Elephas maximus indicus: one gene and its partner. The protein of the gene in region 1 purifies or fractionates together with the protein of each later gene. This does not show direct contact. Links are inferred from orthologs where the notes say so. Each region holds a gene or a part of one and is shown on either strand. Other genes may lie near its edges.

Region 1 (7,288 bases):
TTGAATCAAGAGTATTGAGATCATAAAATCCTACAAACGGAAATAGCTCCAGCCTCAAGAGGGCCTCACCACTGCACAGTGATCTAGATTTATTTCCCTAACTCCCTCTTTCACGACAGCTAATCTCTCTCTTCAAGATTCCTACTCCAGCAGCTGTCCTCCCTCACTCTCAGGAAAGAGAATATTCTCTTCATCTAAGAACGCTCTCAACATTTTCCCTACCTTCTCCTCTTTAAATTTACCTACGTTTAAACTTTTCCTTGCCCCTCACCCTCTTGTCACAAAGGAACTTCCTCTTGAAGGCTCCCGTTTCCATCTTACCTGATCTCATCAGGAACCTCCATCACCACTAGCCACCAGCCTTTCTCTCCTATATCTTAAACCTCTCCCTACCGCCTGGCTTGTTTTAGAATTTGAACACGCTCAACTCCCAGCCACTACAACTCCCCTTTATCAACAACTGTCTCTCCTTGCTCCCTTAAAAAGGATTTAAAAATCCTTAAAAAGGATTTAACTTGATGTCTCCTCTTCACACATCCATTCACTCCTCAATTTACTACAATCTAGCTTCTGCCCTAGCCCCTGCCCAGAAACAGTTCTTGCCAACAACTGACTACTCCCTCTCTCCTTTCGTTTCTGTAACCCAGCACTTCCTGGTTCACGTACCTCCCTGGTCACTCCCTCTGTGTCTTTATTAATTTATGCAACAAATATTTATTGAAAGCCTACTATAAGCTACATGCTGCTTGTTTGTTTTAATATATTATATGAGAGCCTTCACAACTAGGGGGTTGGGGATACAGAGGTAGGCAAGGCATAACCCCTTTCCTTAAAAGGCTTACTGTCCGTAAGAAATATGAACAAGTTAACGGGCAATTTCAGTACACCGTGACAAGGACTATGACAGAGAAGTACAGAGCATGAGGGGCATTAGACTTCCCAAATATTCCTTTTCCTCTGAATTCCACCCTGGATCCTCTTTTCACCCTATACAACTTCTTGGGTGACTTCATTCTCTCCCATGAGCAAAATTACCATCTATGTATGCTGACAACTAAATAAACTATCTTATCATCCCTCTCTTCTAAACTGCAGATTAAAATGGTCAACTGCCTACTAGACATCCCTCTTTGGATGTCTCCAGGTATCTTAACAGATGTTGCTAAAAAAAAAAAAGTATCAACTGACATGGCCTTCTCCCACACCCACCATCAGGTTGCACAAGCTAGAAATTTGGGATCCTTGTTTTCTTCCTCATCCCTGTTGTTGTTGTTGTTGCTGTGAGGTGCTATCAAATCAATTTCAACTCACAGCGACCCCATGGGACAGAGCTGAACATAGGGTTTCCTTGACTGTAATCTTTACAGAAACAGTTCACGAGGTCTTTCTCCTACCAAGCCCCTACATTCATAAATTTAATTTATGCCCCAGAGCGATATTTCTAAGGCATAAATCTGATAGAATTTCAATGAATAAAACTTCAATCGCTCACAAATGCCCTCAGATTTAAGTCTAACTTCCTTGGGATAGCATGCCTGGCCCCTCGTGATCTGATCCCCATTTACTCCCCCAGCCTCCTCACTTGCAACCCTTCCCCCATTCCTGCTCCCTACCTTCTACATTCTGCCCCCAACTCTATGCCTCAGCCTTATATACATATATCTGTTATTTTCAAAGGTGCTGTCCTCTCTCTAAGGAGTCCTGGTGGCACAGTGGTGAAGTGCTCAGCTGCTAACTGAAAGGTCAGCAGTGCAAACTCACCAGCTGCTCCACGGCAGAGACATGTGGCAGTCTGCTTCCATAAAGATTACAGCCTTGGAAACCCTGTGGGGCAGTTCTACTCTGTCCTAGAGGGTCACTATGAGTTGGAATCAACTCAATGCCAATGGTTTTTTTTTTGGGGGGGGGGTCCTCTCTAGACCCTAAACTTGCTGTAATCTTTGCTTTCCCTGTGCTTGGCTAACTCCTGTTCTTCAGGTTCTGAGACAGCACCTCCTTCCCTGACTCCCCAGGCTGGGTTGGATGTCTCTTTTCTGCTCAACTCTGAGTTTTCCTTTATCCCAACAGTAATACTGGAGAGTAATTCTCTGTCATTGTCTATCCTTCCCTCTAGATTGTGAGCTGAAGATGGGAAGTGTGACTTGATCATCCCCATGGCGCCAGGACCTAAACGCTACCTAGTAGAGAGTAAGTCATTGACACATTTTTGTTAAAAGAAAAAGTTCGTTTTAACAGGTTGCATCCTTCTCCTTCCAACCCCGGGGGCCCCAACTCCCAGCAGCAATTGCAAGCCCTGTTCAGAGACTGGGGAGAGAGGAAGCTGGTGACCACTAGTTGGCGATTCTCTCAGGACTCTCACTGAAAAGGATGAATAAGGGACAGGGAAAGACCTGTGTATTCTCAGCAGGAATATATGTCCTTTCAACCTTCTCCATCAGACTACCTCCCCCCTCAGACTCAGCCTCCCCTCTAAAAGTACCACCCAAACCCAAACTCTACATCAGACTTCTTCAGAATCCTCCCAAGACTACCTCAGTCCTCGCCCAAACAACTCCCTCTGGCCTCAGCCTCCTCCCTCTGCCTCGACCTCCTTTCCCCTCTCAGCTTCCTCCCTCAGTTTTACCCGCCTTCCTCTCAGTCTCCTCCTTCAGCCTCGACCTCCTCTTCTCCTCAGCCTCATCCTCCTTCCTTTATCTGCCTCCTCTCTCAGCCTCCACCTTTTCCTGGCTCCTTCAGCCTCCTCCCTCAGTCGCGACCTCATTCGTCTCAACCTCCTCACTCAGCCTCTCCTCAACGCCTCAGCCTTCTCTCAGAGCTCCTCGACCTAAGCCTCCTTCTCCCGGGTTCGGCCCGGCCCAGGCCCCGCCCCCGCCGCGAGGACAGTGCTCACCGTCGTAGTAGTAACAGACTTTCCTCTTGGTGCCCTGAGTCTGCGCCATCTTGCTCGCCTCCCGTCCCTCCCGTCAGTCGGTCCGTCTGCCCTCCCGCCCGCGGCTCCGCGCAGCGTCCGACCCAGGGGGGAGAGGGCGGGCCTCCAGCCCGCTCCGCCCGTCCCCTCCCGGGCTCACCTATAGCCGCGCAGCCCGGGCACCTCTCCAGCCAATCAGCTTGAGCAGGGACGGGCCCGGAACTCGGCAGGGGGCAAGGGCAGCCCTGAGAGGCAGCCGAGGGCCCCCTGGGCCTGTACCAAGGTCGCGACAGGGGGTGGGGGAAACTGCCCGGGGACCGTACCATTAGTCCCGGGGGAGGAAAACAGATCTGTAAACTTCGCTGTCCCATTTCGTCGTTGGAAGAGTGCTTGGAGATCAGAGGCCAATTTTGTAATTTTACAGAGAATAAAATGAGGCCTATAGAGGAAAGAAGAAGTACAGCCAGAATGCTCCTTAGAAGCGAGGATGGCTAGACTTGTCTCACGTACTTTGGACATGTTATCAGGAGGGCCCAGTCCCTGGAGAAGGACGTCGTGCTTGGTAAAGTAAAGGGTCAAGAAAAAGAGGAAGACCCTCAATGAGATGGATTGACACAGTGACTGCAACAATGGGCTCAAACAGAACGAGTGTGAAGTTAGGGAGTGTGAGGTTAGCGCAGGACCGGGCAGTGTTTCCTTCTGTCGCTATGAGCTGGAACCAACTCTATGACACCTAACAACAACACAGAGGAAAAGTGATTTGCCTAAGGTCACCTACTAAGGAAGGGGCTGCACCTGAATTAGGACGCAAGTTTAGAGGAGAGAGAAATAAAATGACAAACTGTCAAGGGCTTGCTGGAGACCAAGTACTGTGCAATAGCTTTACCACACTCTTCTCAGTTATTCCTCATAATAGTTTTGGAAGCGGGCTTTTCATCCCCATTTTACAGATAAAGATAATGAAGTTCAGACCTCTGTGAACTGCTGAGTCACATGATTAATTGTTAAATTTAATTTTCACTTTTACAGAATTTTTGACTACCCACTGTATGCCAGAGGCTTTGTAACAAAGCGGCAGAAACCTCGCTGGTGCATCGCCCGGGAGGATTAAGGAGTATCTTCACATGGGGTCACCCTGGAGCAGAATCCACTTGAGGGCTACTAGTTTGTTTTTTTGGTTTTGTTGTTGTTGTTGTTAGGTGCCATTCAGTCAGTTCGGACTCATAGCGACCATACAGGACAGAGTAGAACTGCCCCGTAGGGTTTCCAAGGAGCGGCTGGTGGAGTCAAACTGCTGACGTTCTGGTTAACAGCTGAGCTCTTAACCACTATGCCACCAGGGCTCCCTAATGTTTTTTTGGCTTTAGGCAGGAGTAACCTGTATTGCCCTGTTCCCTAGATTAGAGTTTCTCAACCTTGGAGGTATTGGGGCCAGGTAATTCTTAGTTTTGGGGGGCTGTCCTGTGCATTGCATTGTAGGACATTTAGCAGCATCCCTGCCCTCTACCCATTAGATGCCAGTAACATCCTCCACCCCCCGGTTAGGACAACTAAAAATGTCTGCAGACATTGCCAAATGTCCCTGGGGCAGGGAAAGCTCAAACCACCCACCATACTCCCCTTGAGAAGGACTGCACTAGATCAATTCATCATCAACTGGCCATTGTTGAAACTGAAAGAGTGAAAAGCACTGTGCTGAGCTATGAAGATAACGACTACAACAACATTAATATTTAATGAGCGCTTACTATGTACCAAGCATTATACTAAGTAGGTAGCTTACCCTTAGTATTACAGTCAATAGGATACATTTTTATGCCTCTTTACAGATCAAGGAGTGTTTGGGGACATGTGTTCTCACTTAGGAACTGCGTTTGAACCATTAATTATAAAGGTTACAGGCGATCTAAGACTGGACCTTTCATTCTATTATAAAAATAACAATGAACTAGGGAACAAACTCTATTCCGGGGTCTGCGTTGCTACTTCTTAGCTGTTCTTGGGTGGGTTTACTTAACCTTACTGGACCTCCATTTTCCTGTTGAAAAATGGGGAGGATAAGAATACAAAGTTCACCAACTCTGTGGCGGTACACAGTGTCCAAAACAGGAGGAGGGTGGGAATCAGATGAGATTATGGGTGTGGCAGCACTTTATAAACAGGGGTCACAAACTCAGATGTCTACAGAGCTCAAATGTTGTTGTTTGGTGCCATTGAGTTGATTTCTACTCGTAGCAACCCCATGTGACAGAGTAGAACTGCACCTTAGGGTTTTCTAGAGTGCAATGTTTACAGGAGCAGATTGCCAGGTCTTTCTACAGCACAGCAGCTGGGTGGATTCGAACCCCCAACCTTAGCAGCTGAGTGCTTAACCCTTGTACCACCAGAGATCAGGTAGGTGATGTAAATGAGTGAAATTTATGTTTTTTTTACTGAGATGCTCTTTGTTTGCATGTTTTAAAAATTGGGCCATTTTTCATTTTTGTAAAGAAATATGCCTTTCTCCTACCTTTCTTTAAACACACTGCCATCTTGGGGTATCTTTAATTTTCTCACTTTTTAATGGAGATGTGGATACCAAAAAAAATTAGTTTTCCTGTTTATTATAAGAACAATGATGTTAAACACTTATTAACACTCAATTTCATTGTCTCAGAGCAAAAGGGAGGGAGAGCTCATACCCCACTTAAACGGGGCAGCCGCTACTTAGCTCCATGAGGGCCCAAAACGGTCAACTCTTCCTATCTTTCAAAAGAAAGCAGAAATCTGAAGTTTTATTCAAAACCTCCCCAGTTTTATACATTGGCTGTTAATGCAGTCAGTTCTCAATACAGTGGTAAGAGACATCCTTTTAAAATGTGATGTTGCTGTTGAGTCAAGATTCCGACTCATAGTGACCCCATGTAACAGAGTAGAACTGCCCCATAGGGTTTTCTAGGCTGTAATCTTAAGGGAAGCAGATCGCCAGGACTTTCTCCCAGAGAATAGGTGTTTGGGTTGAAACCACCAACCGTTTGGCTAGCAGCCCCACTTTTAACCGTTGTACCACTAGGGCTCCTTTTTAAAATGTAAGTCAGATCATATCATAGCTCTGCACAAATCTTTGCAAAGGCTTCTCAAAATGGCTCCTGCAAAGGGCACAAGGCCGAGGTCCTAGGATTTAATTCCCTCTCTCTGGCCACCATTACCGCTCTGAACATGCCAGGCAAACTCCTGCCTCAGACTATTCCCTCAGCTCCTTCAAATCTTTGCTCAAATGTCATCTTCTCAATGAGGCCTTCCCTGACCACCTTCTTTAAAATGGCAAACTTTTCCCCAAACATGGCATTCCTAATCCCCTTTGCTCTGCTCTGTTTTTCCCCTAGCACCTTGTAGCATATGATATAATTTATTTATGATGTTTATTGTTTATTGTCTGTCTTCCCTTACTAGAATGTAAGTTCACAAAGGCAGAGATTTGCGTGTGAGTTTTATCAACTGTATATCCTATGAGCCTAGAACAGTAGACGGTTAATACATATTTGTTAAATAAATTAACTAATTCAATTTTTAAAAACATCCTGAAGGTAAATCAAAACATATTCAAGGCCAGATGCAGCCCTTGAATTACTGGCTGTAAAAAAATGCAATTGCCCTTATACAGTGGGAGGGAGGGGATCCAATGACGCACTGGAGGCAATTCCAGGTGGGGATTGAACTGAATCCATGGGGGTAGAGGTGAGGTGTACTGTTCCATTTGAAGGGATTGGGAGAGCCCATACAGCAAAGTGTAGGCACGTCCCCTTGGCCCCCAGCATCACCAGGACTGGAAAAAAGTTCAGATGTTCCCTCAGGGTGTAACCAATTCAGGGTGATCCAGTTTCCCTCTTCTGAATCCCCACTCCACACCCCAAGGACGAGGAGATGGGAGTGGGGAACAGAGACATGTACCACATTCATCAACAAACAGACATTTATTGAGCTCCTGATGTGTGCTAGGCACCAAGGAGGAGCATAGAGAGGTATCAGACAAGGTCCCAGCCCTCTAGGAGTTCTTGCTCACCAGGGGAAAGAAGAGGGAGTGGGGCCAGAAGCTGGTGTCAGTCACGGGCCTCTGTCCTTTCTCTTGTGGTCTCAGAAAGTAGGACAGCCCAGAAAGGGACACCTTGGACAGGTGCCCAAAACATAAAGGCACAGGCCACACATGTACAAGACACATGTGAAGAGCCCACACAAGTACAGGACACATGCACAAAACACAAAATGTGTACGTGTTACATGTGACAGGATTCATGTGCAGAGTGCTTACGTGCATAGGTTACATGGGTAAAGCACTGGCACTCTATCTCCCCAAGTCAGGCTGAGAGACACAGGTGGCTAGATGGGGGGAGGCCTTCAGGC
Region 2 (7,319 bases), on another chromosome or scaffold:
TTATTTTTCAAAATTTACCCAGGTACTCTTACATTAACAGATAATTTCAGTCCAACTCTAAGTGCTTTAAGTCACATCAAAAGAAATGTAAATTAAAGGATACCATTTTCCCACCAAACCAGCAAGTTACAAAAAGAAAAACCCACGAACAAACAAAATAATACCAAAACCTGGGGAAACAGACACTGTTGTACATCTTGTGGAAGTGTAACATTTTTTCTGAAGGCTTATCTGATAAATAAAAATGACTTTAAAATACATACATACCTTTGGACCCAGAAATAATACCTCTAGAAGATTTTTTTTGGTAACAAATTCATCACAACATTATAAAGCTAAAATTTGGCAAAAACACACATCTCCCACTGTAGACAGGGTAAGTAAACATAATCAAATTCCCAATTCTATTAAAACTAATGTTGCAGAAAATACTGATACCTAGAAATGTACTTGTTAATCAACTAGGTTAAAATGAGGCTAAAAACCCTCTACACAATGATGCTATTCGTTTTTGTTTGCCTGTTTGTTTTGATTATATATGCAAGACTGGAAGCCCAAACTTTAACTTAAGAGTCTACCTCCGGAGAATGTGGGTTTTTTGTTTGAGGGTATGGAAAGGCAGCAGGGTCATGTCTTCATATGCTTTTCAATGCTCTCTAATTTCCTGCATTACACATGTTACAAAAAGAATGCTGAATTCTTAAAATAGTAGAATAGTAACATTTTGGTATACCAACCCATGATCAACTGCAGAACTCAACAGAGCCTCTCTTGCTGCCTTTGTGGCTTCTCTCCAACCCGCAATGATGGTCTGTGGGTGAATCTTTTTTGCAATTAAAGTTTCTGCTTCCTATTAATAAACAGTGAAAAGCATTATCAATAAGAGCTACAAGAAGGATTTGATTACTGCTGATATTCAAAACCACAAAACAAAAAATAAAACGAGGTAAGAGTTGCTCAGATATTTTCTCACCCTTAATAATTCTGCTGCTAAAACAGTAACAGAGGTAGTTCCATCGCCAACTTCATCATCTTGAACCCTTGACATATCTAGAATAAAATTAGTTATCAATTTATACCTGATTCTGCTTTTTAAACTACTTTAAGGTAGTTTAATTCTCAAAACATACCCACTACCAATCCAAACCTTGCATACCTAGATTTCTCTACCTGACAAATTCTCTGGAACTTTTAGGTAGAAATGCAAGTTTTACCATCGATAATCACTTGGCACTCCAGAAGCTTGCATTTTAATAACAATAATCAATTACAAAGTGGTAGACAGAAATTAATTAAAAGTACAATTACTTAACACTGACTATTAAAAAGTAAGTATTTCATAATGTTAACAAAACAGCTTTTTACAAGTCACTCCCTCCTCCTTAAATAAATCTTCAGACTCACCAACTAAAACTTTAGCTGCTGGGTTGTCAACACCGATGTTTTTTAGAATAGTTGCACCATCATTGGTTACCATAAGGGAGGCGTCTCGTCCGCTGCTTAAAAGAATCTTATCCTAAAGGAACATAAGATATAAGCACATCTTGAAGAACGAGTGGGTCAATCAGTACTCTCATACACCCCACAATCAAGCCCTGGTATCTGCCCCTAGAAAGACTAGAAGCACAGGGAGACACGAACAATGAGGTTTGTTTCAGCACCCTAATAATCAAAACAATGGAAACAAAGTTGTGTCCATCAATATAGCCACAGTTGAATAAACTATAAAAAACTATCTACACCGCCAAGAATTTAAGAAACAAGCTACATAAAAAAAATACATATAAATACTATCTGTATAAAACAAGGAGCCCTGGTGGCACAGTGGTTAAAAGCTCAGCTGCTAACCAAAAGGTCAAATCCACCAGCCACTCCTTGGAAATCCTATGGGGCAGTTCTATTCTGTCCTATAGGGTCTCTGAGTCAGAGCTGACTCGAAAGCAACAGGTTTGGTTTGGCTGGATTTGCATAAAACAAAATATTATCTGTTACACGAAAAAATACTTAAGTAAATATATATACATACATCTACATAAGTGAACAGAAATACATCCAGAAGATAAACACCAAAGTAAGTGTTAATCACAGGAACTTATGAGTATTGTTCTGATTTTTAGTAAGGAGAATAGTCACATATTACTTGTGTAAAACTTTTTAAAGATTAAAAAACATCAAAAAAAGTGTTACTAACTGTATTTCCATTAATAGCTCTAAAACAATACTAAAACCTACAAATACGTTGTTCTTCTTACCATGCCTTTGGGTCCCAAAGTGCTCTTTACCAAGTCTCCAATAGCAATGGCACCGATAAAAGAAGACTGGATCGAAAACCAAACAGATTATCAGAATTAGACAATTTTAACGTGCAAGTTATAATTTCATCCTCAAGAGAAAGGAGAGAACAAGGCTCACCAGACGAGCTGTCTCTGCTCTCTCTTCATCAGCTCCAGCCTTGAAGATGTTAACAGGAGCAAGAGAAAGGGACGCCTAAAACGGGCAATCAAAATACATACTTTGAATATGTACTCTTTAACATATATACTTAAAGGCCTTCCGCTATACTCGAGTATTCAAGAGAAAAGTAATTTATAGGATACTTTTTCAAATGAAGCTTTCCATCATCCGTGCAGTCATATATTTAAGTGGAAGGGAGATTTACGTAAATTGCGAGGAAAGCGGCTTTTAAGATCTATGTAGGCGCCAGGAATAAAAACCACACACTGAAGCGATTGTTTGATAAGTATGGCAAGACTGAAGATTTTAAACTATGGATGAAGAAGGCAGGATTACAGACCACCCGCGGGGCGACGCCAGGTAGGCGATGGGAAGCGGCGGCCTCCATCTTCGACTCTCGGGCGCGCCTTCCCCGCCCGCTCCAGGCTCCTCCCCGAGGGCGGGCGGGGTCGGCCTCGTGGCCCCGGGCTCTAAAAATTCCTCTGCGGCCGGTGGGTCCCGGTGAGACCCCGGCTTCGAGGTGCTGGGACCGTGGAGAGGACGAGCTGGTGTAAGACAATGGCCTTGAGACCCACTCCTCCCCCTGGCTGGCATGAAGGGCTCCCACCAGCAGGCCTCGGGCAGGCCACACGCAAGCGCCGTCGCCATGTGCGGCGGTGTCGTGGCAGACACAGGGAGCCCGTGGCCTAGGAGGGACGGAGAAGGCAGAAGGGCGGCAGCGCACAGCGGGACACGGCAAAGCACGGGCTGGGGGACCAGGGCTGGGGGGAGCAGGCTCACCATGGTTCCAAGGAGGTCGGCCCACACGCTAATCCCTTACCGCTCGCCCGGGTAACCAGGAGTGAAGAGGGAGGCGGAAGTGACGCCACACGCTCTATCGCAGGGGGCGGGGCCTCGGCCTGAGCTCCGTTCCTGCTTGGTGCCACCGCCTGCGGAGGAAGGGAGGGGTTGACACTTTGAGAGAAGCCTGGAGGGCGGTAAACGCAGCCTGTCATATTGGACCCGCTCAGTAGGGAGGAGGAAAGGGAGGAGTCTGAAATTTTGCTTGAGGCTGGGCGGATTAGAACTAAAAAAAAAAAAAAGTCTTTGAAAAACAGACGCCGCGCTGCCGGGTTGCTATAGCAACCGAGTTCTGGCTCATGTTTTAAACTTTTCCTTAAATTTAACTTTTAAAATTTTGCAAATAACACATACGCAGTTTAAATCGTCATATGAAAAAAAATATATAGTAGTAATAAAAAATATAATTTCCCTGCCTCATCACTTCCTCTCCCCAGAGGCAAGCACACTTTAAGTTTTTTTAGCATGTGTGTGAGATTATTTGCCGTCATATTCCTAAATATTTTTTATTGCTTTTTTAATTTTAAGCATTTATTTATTGAGCATAACGGAGGCCGACTTGCTTTCCTTTTACTGAATTTTAGAACTGTTTCTGATTGGACGTTGACTGCACAGCAGGGCAAGGTTTTGTGAACTCTAATGGGAACGTTTATCTTTGGCCTGTTCGCTCCTTTTCAATAGGCTTTGTATTTTGCTTTTATTGTGTCTTCCACTAGTGGAGATGACTAGTACACTCTTACATAATGACTTTGTCTTTTTCTCCCACGGAGCCGCTGGTAGGTCCGCCCATAAAGCTTTACAGCCTAGCAAACCCTAAGGGCCAGTTCTACTCTGTCCTATAGGGTCGCTGTAAGTTGGAATCGACTGGAGGGCACACAACAACAAAAACATCTTGGCAGAGATGAAGATCAATGCCGAATATTCCACGGTATTACAAACAGTTTTCTACTTTCCCACCCTCCAGGACATCTAAAGCCAGTTTTTTGTGTATTAAAAAAGTCCATTGGTTTTGTATCATTCACTGATACCCACTTTTCTTTCTTTGGCTAACTGATTACTTAGCAAGCTCCTGTATTTTTTACAACTGCTAACATTAAATTTACAAGTGTTCTACCCTTCAGATATACACTAAGTGGGGTAGTTTACACTAAAAAAAAGGATTGGCAAACTATGGGGGAACCAAATCCAGCCTGTGGCCTAGTTTTGTGTGACCTGAGAGCTAAGAATGGTTTTTTAACTTTTTTAAATGGTTGAAAAACAATAAAATGGCATGACACATGAAGTTTATATGAAATTCAAATTTCAGTGTTCATAAATAAACATTTATTGAAACATAGGCATACCCATTCATTACTGTACTGTCTTTGACTGCTTTCATAATGTTGTTCTTGTTGTTAGGTGCCATCGAGTGGGTTTCAGCTCATAGTGACCCTATATGCAACAGAAGGAAGCACTGCCCATTCCTGTGCCATCCTCACAATTGTTATGCTTCAGCCCATTGTTTTAGCCACTGTGTCAATCCATCTCGTTGAGGGTCTTCCTCTTTTTCGGTTACCGTCTACTTTACCAAGCATAATGTCTTTCTCCAGGGATTGCTTCCTCCTGATAACATGTCCAAAGTATGTGAGATGTACTCTTGCCACCCTTGCTTCTTCCAAGACGGATTTGTTCATTTTTTTGGCAATCCATGGTGTATTCAATAGTCTTCACCAACACCATAATTCAAAGGCATCAATTCCCTGGTCTTCCTTATTCGTTGGCTCAGCTTCCACGTGCATATGAGGCAAATGAAAATACCATGGCTTGGGTTAGGCACACCTTAGTCCTTAAACTGACATCTTTGCTTTTTTAACACTTTAAATAGATCTTTTGCAGCAGTGCCCATTGCAATGAGTTGTTTGATTTCTTGACTGCTGCTTCCATGGGTGTTGATTGTGGATCCAAGTAAAATGAAATTTTTGGCAACCTCAATCTTTTCTCCATTTATCATGATGTTATTTATTGGTCCAGTTGTGAGGATTTTTGTTTTCTTTATGTTGAGGTGCAATCCATACTGAAGGCGGTAGTCTTCGATCTTCGTCAATAAGTGCTTCAAATCCTCTTTGCTTGCAGCAAGCAAGGTTGTGTCATCTGCACATCACAGGTTGTTAATGAATCTCCCTCCAATCCTTATGCCAAGTTCTTCTTAATATAGTCCAGCTTCTCGTATTATTTTTTCAGCATACAGATTGAATAAGTATGGTGAAAGGATACAACCCTGATGCACACCTTTCCTGATTTTAAACTACACTGTATTCCCCCCCCTTTTTTTTTACTCATTCAAAAATGTATGCATGTATTATTTCATGAAGTTGGTTGCAATCCCCACAATGTGACAGCATGCTCCCCCTTTTCACCCCGGGTTTCCTGTGTCCATTAGTCCAGCTCCTGTCTCTTCCTGCCTTCTCATCCTGCTTTTGGATAGGAGCTCCCCATTGGTCTCCTATATTTGATTGAACTAAGAAGCACATTCATCACGTGTGTTATTTTTTGTTTTATAGGCCTGTCTAATCTTTTTGTGAAAAGTGGGCTTCAGGAATGTTTTCAGTTCTGGGTTAGTCTTTATTTTGTACGAACGATTGCCTCTTTTTCTATGTACAGTGTCTTAGTTATCTAGTCCTGCTGTAACAGAAATACCACAAGTGGATGACTTTAACAAAGAGAAGTTTATTTTTTCACAGTAAAGTAAGCTAAAAGTCCAAATTCAGCGGGTCAGCTCCAGGGGAAGGCTTTCTCTTTCTGTTGCCTTCTCATCACTGTTCCCCCAGACCAGGAGCTTCTGCCCACAGGGACCCCGGGTCCAAAGGACGCACTCTGCTCCCAGCACTGCCGTCTTGGTGTTATGAGGTCCCCAACTCTCTGCTTGCTTCTCTTTCCTTTTATCTCTCAAGACATAAAAGGTGGTGCAGGCCACACCCCAGGAAAACTACCTTTACACTGCATCAGGGAGGTGACCTAAGTAAGGGTGGTGTTGCACTCCCACCCTAATCCTCTCGACATAATATTACAATCACAAATTGGAGGACAACCACACAGTACTGGGAATCATGGCCAAACCAAGTTAATACACACATTTTGGGGGGACATAATTCAATCCATCCCCCACATGTCTGTCAGTTTGCCGTACTGTGGGGGTTTGCGTATTGCTGTGATGCTGGAAGCTATGCCGCCAGTGTTCAGATACCAGCAGGGTCACCCATAGAGGACAGGTTTCAGCTGAGCTTCCAGACTAAGACAGACTAGGAAGAAGGACCCAGCAGTCTACTTCTGAAAAGCATTAGCCAGTGAAAAACTTATGAATAGCTGTGGAACATGGTCTGATATAGTGCTGGAAGATGAGCCCCCCAGGTTGAAAGGCACTCAAAAGATGACTGGGGAAGAGCTGCCTCCTCAAAGTAGAGTTGACCTTAATGACGTGGATGGAGTAAAGCTTTCGAGACCTTCATTCGCTGATGTGGCATGACTCAAAATGAGAAGAAACAGCTGCAAACATCCATTAATAATCGGAACCTGGAATGTACAAAGTATCAATCTAGGAAAATCGAAAATCATCAAAAATGGAATGCATAAACATCGATATCCTAGGCATTAGTGAGCTGAAATGGACTGGTTATTGGCCATTTTGAATTGGACAATCGTATAGTCTACCGTGCTGGGAACAACAACTTGAAGAGGAATGGTGTTGCATTTGTCAACAAAAAGAACGTTTCAAGATCTATCCTGAAGTACAACGCTGTTAGTGATAGGATAACATCCATACGCCTACAAAGAAGACCAGTTAATACGACTATTATTCAAATTTAAGCACCAACCACTAGGGCCAAAGATGAAGAAATGGAAGATTTTTATCACCTGCTGCAGTCTGAAATTGATCAAACATGCAACCAAGATGCATTGATGATTACTGGCGATTGGAATGTGAAAGTTGGAAACAAGAAGGATCAGTAGTTGGAAAATATGGCCTTGGTGATAGAAACAATACAAGA

The links. Proteins that work in one complex are often made in the same cells at the same time.
Region 2: the proteins of HDAC1 (region 1) and CCT2 purify together in Homo sapiens (affinity purification with mass spectrometry; 4 studies listed by BioGRID and IntAct, counting the BioPlex papers as one, with this or other methods). This does not show direct contact. The link is inferred for Elephas maximus indicus from reciprocal best matches to the Homo sapiens genes HDAC1 and CCT2.

The regions. Positions count from the first base shown.
Region 1 is NC_064821.1:73,172,418-73,179,705, reverse strand, and holds the start of HDAC1 (histone deacetylase 1), read right to left. Parts: upstream 3,022-7,288; 5' UTR 2,940-3,021; coding exon 2,891-2,939; intron 1-2,890. UniProt on the Homo sapiens protein: Histone deacetylase that catalyzes the deacetylation of lysine residues on the N-terminal part of the core histones (H2A, H2B, H3 and H4).
Region 2 is NC_064822.1:130,768,067-130,775,385, reverse strand, and holds the start of CCT2 (T-complex protein 1 subunit beta), read right to left. Parts: upstream 3,341-7,319; 5' UTR 3,238-3,340; coding exon 3,235-3,237; intron 2,488-3,234; coding exon 2,413-2,487; intron 2,319-2,412; coding exon 2,253-2,318; intron 1,517-2,252; coding exon 1,405-1,516; intron 1,051-1,404; coding exon 974-1,050; intron 851-973; coding exon 738-850; intron 1-737. UniProt on the Homo sapiens protein: Component of the chaperonin-containing T-complex (TRiC), a molecular chaperone complex that assists the folding of actin, tubulin and other proteins upon ATP hydrolysis.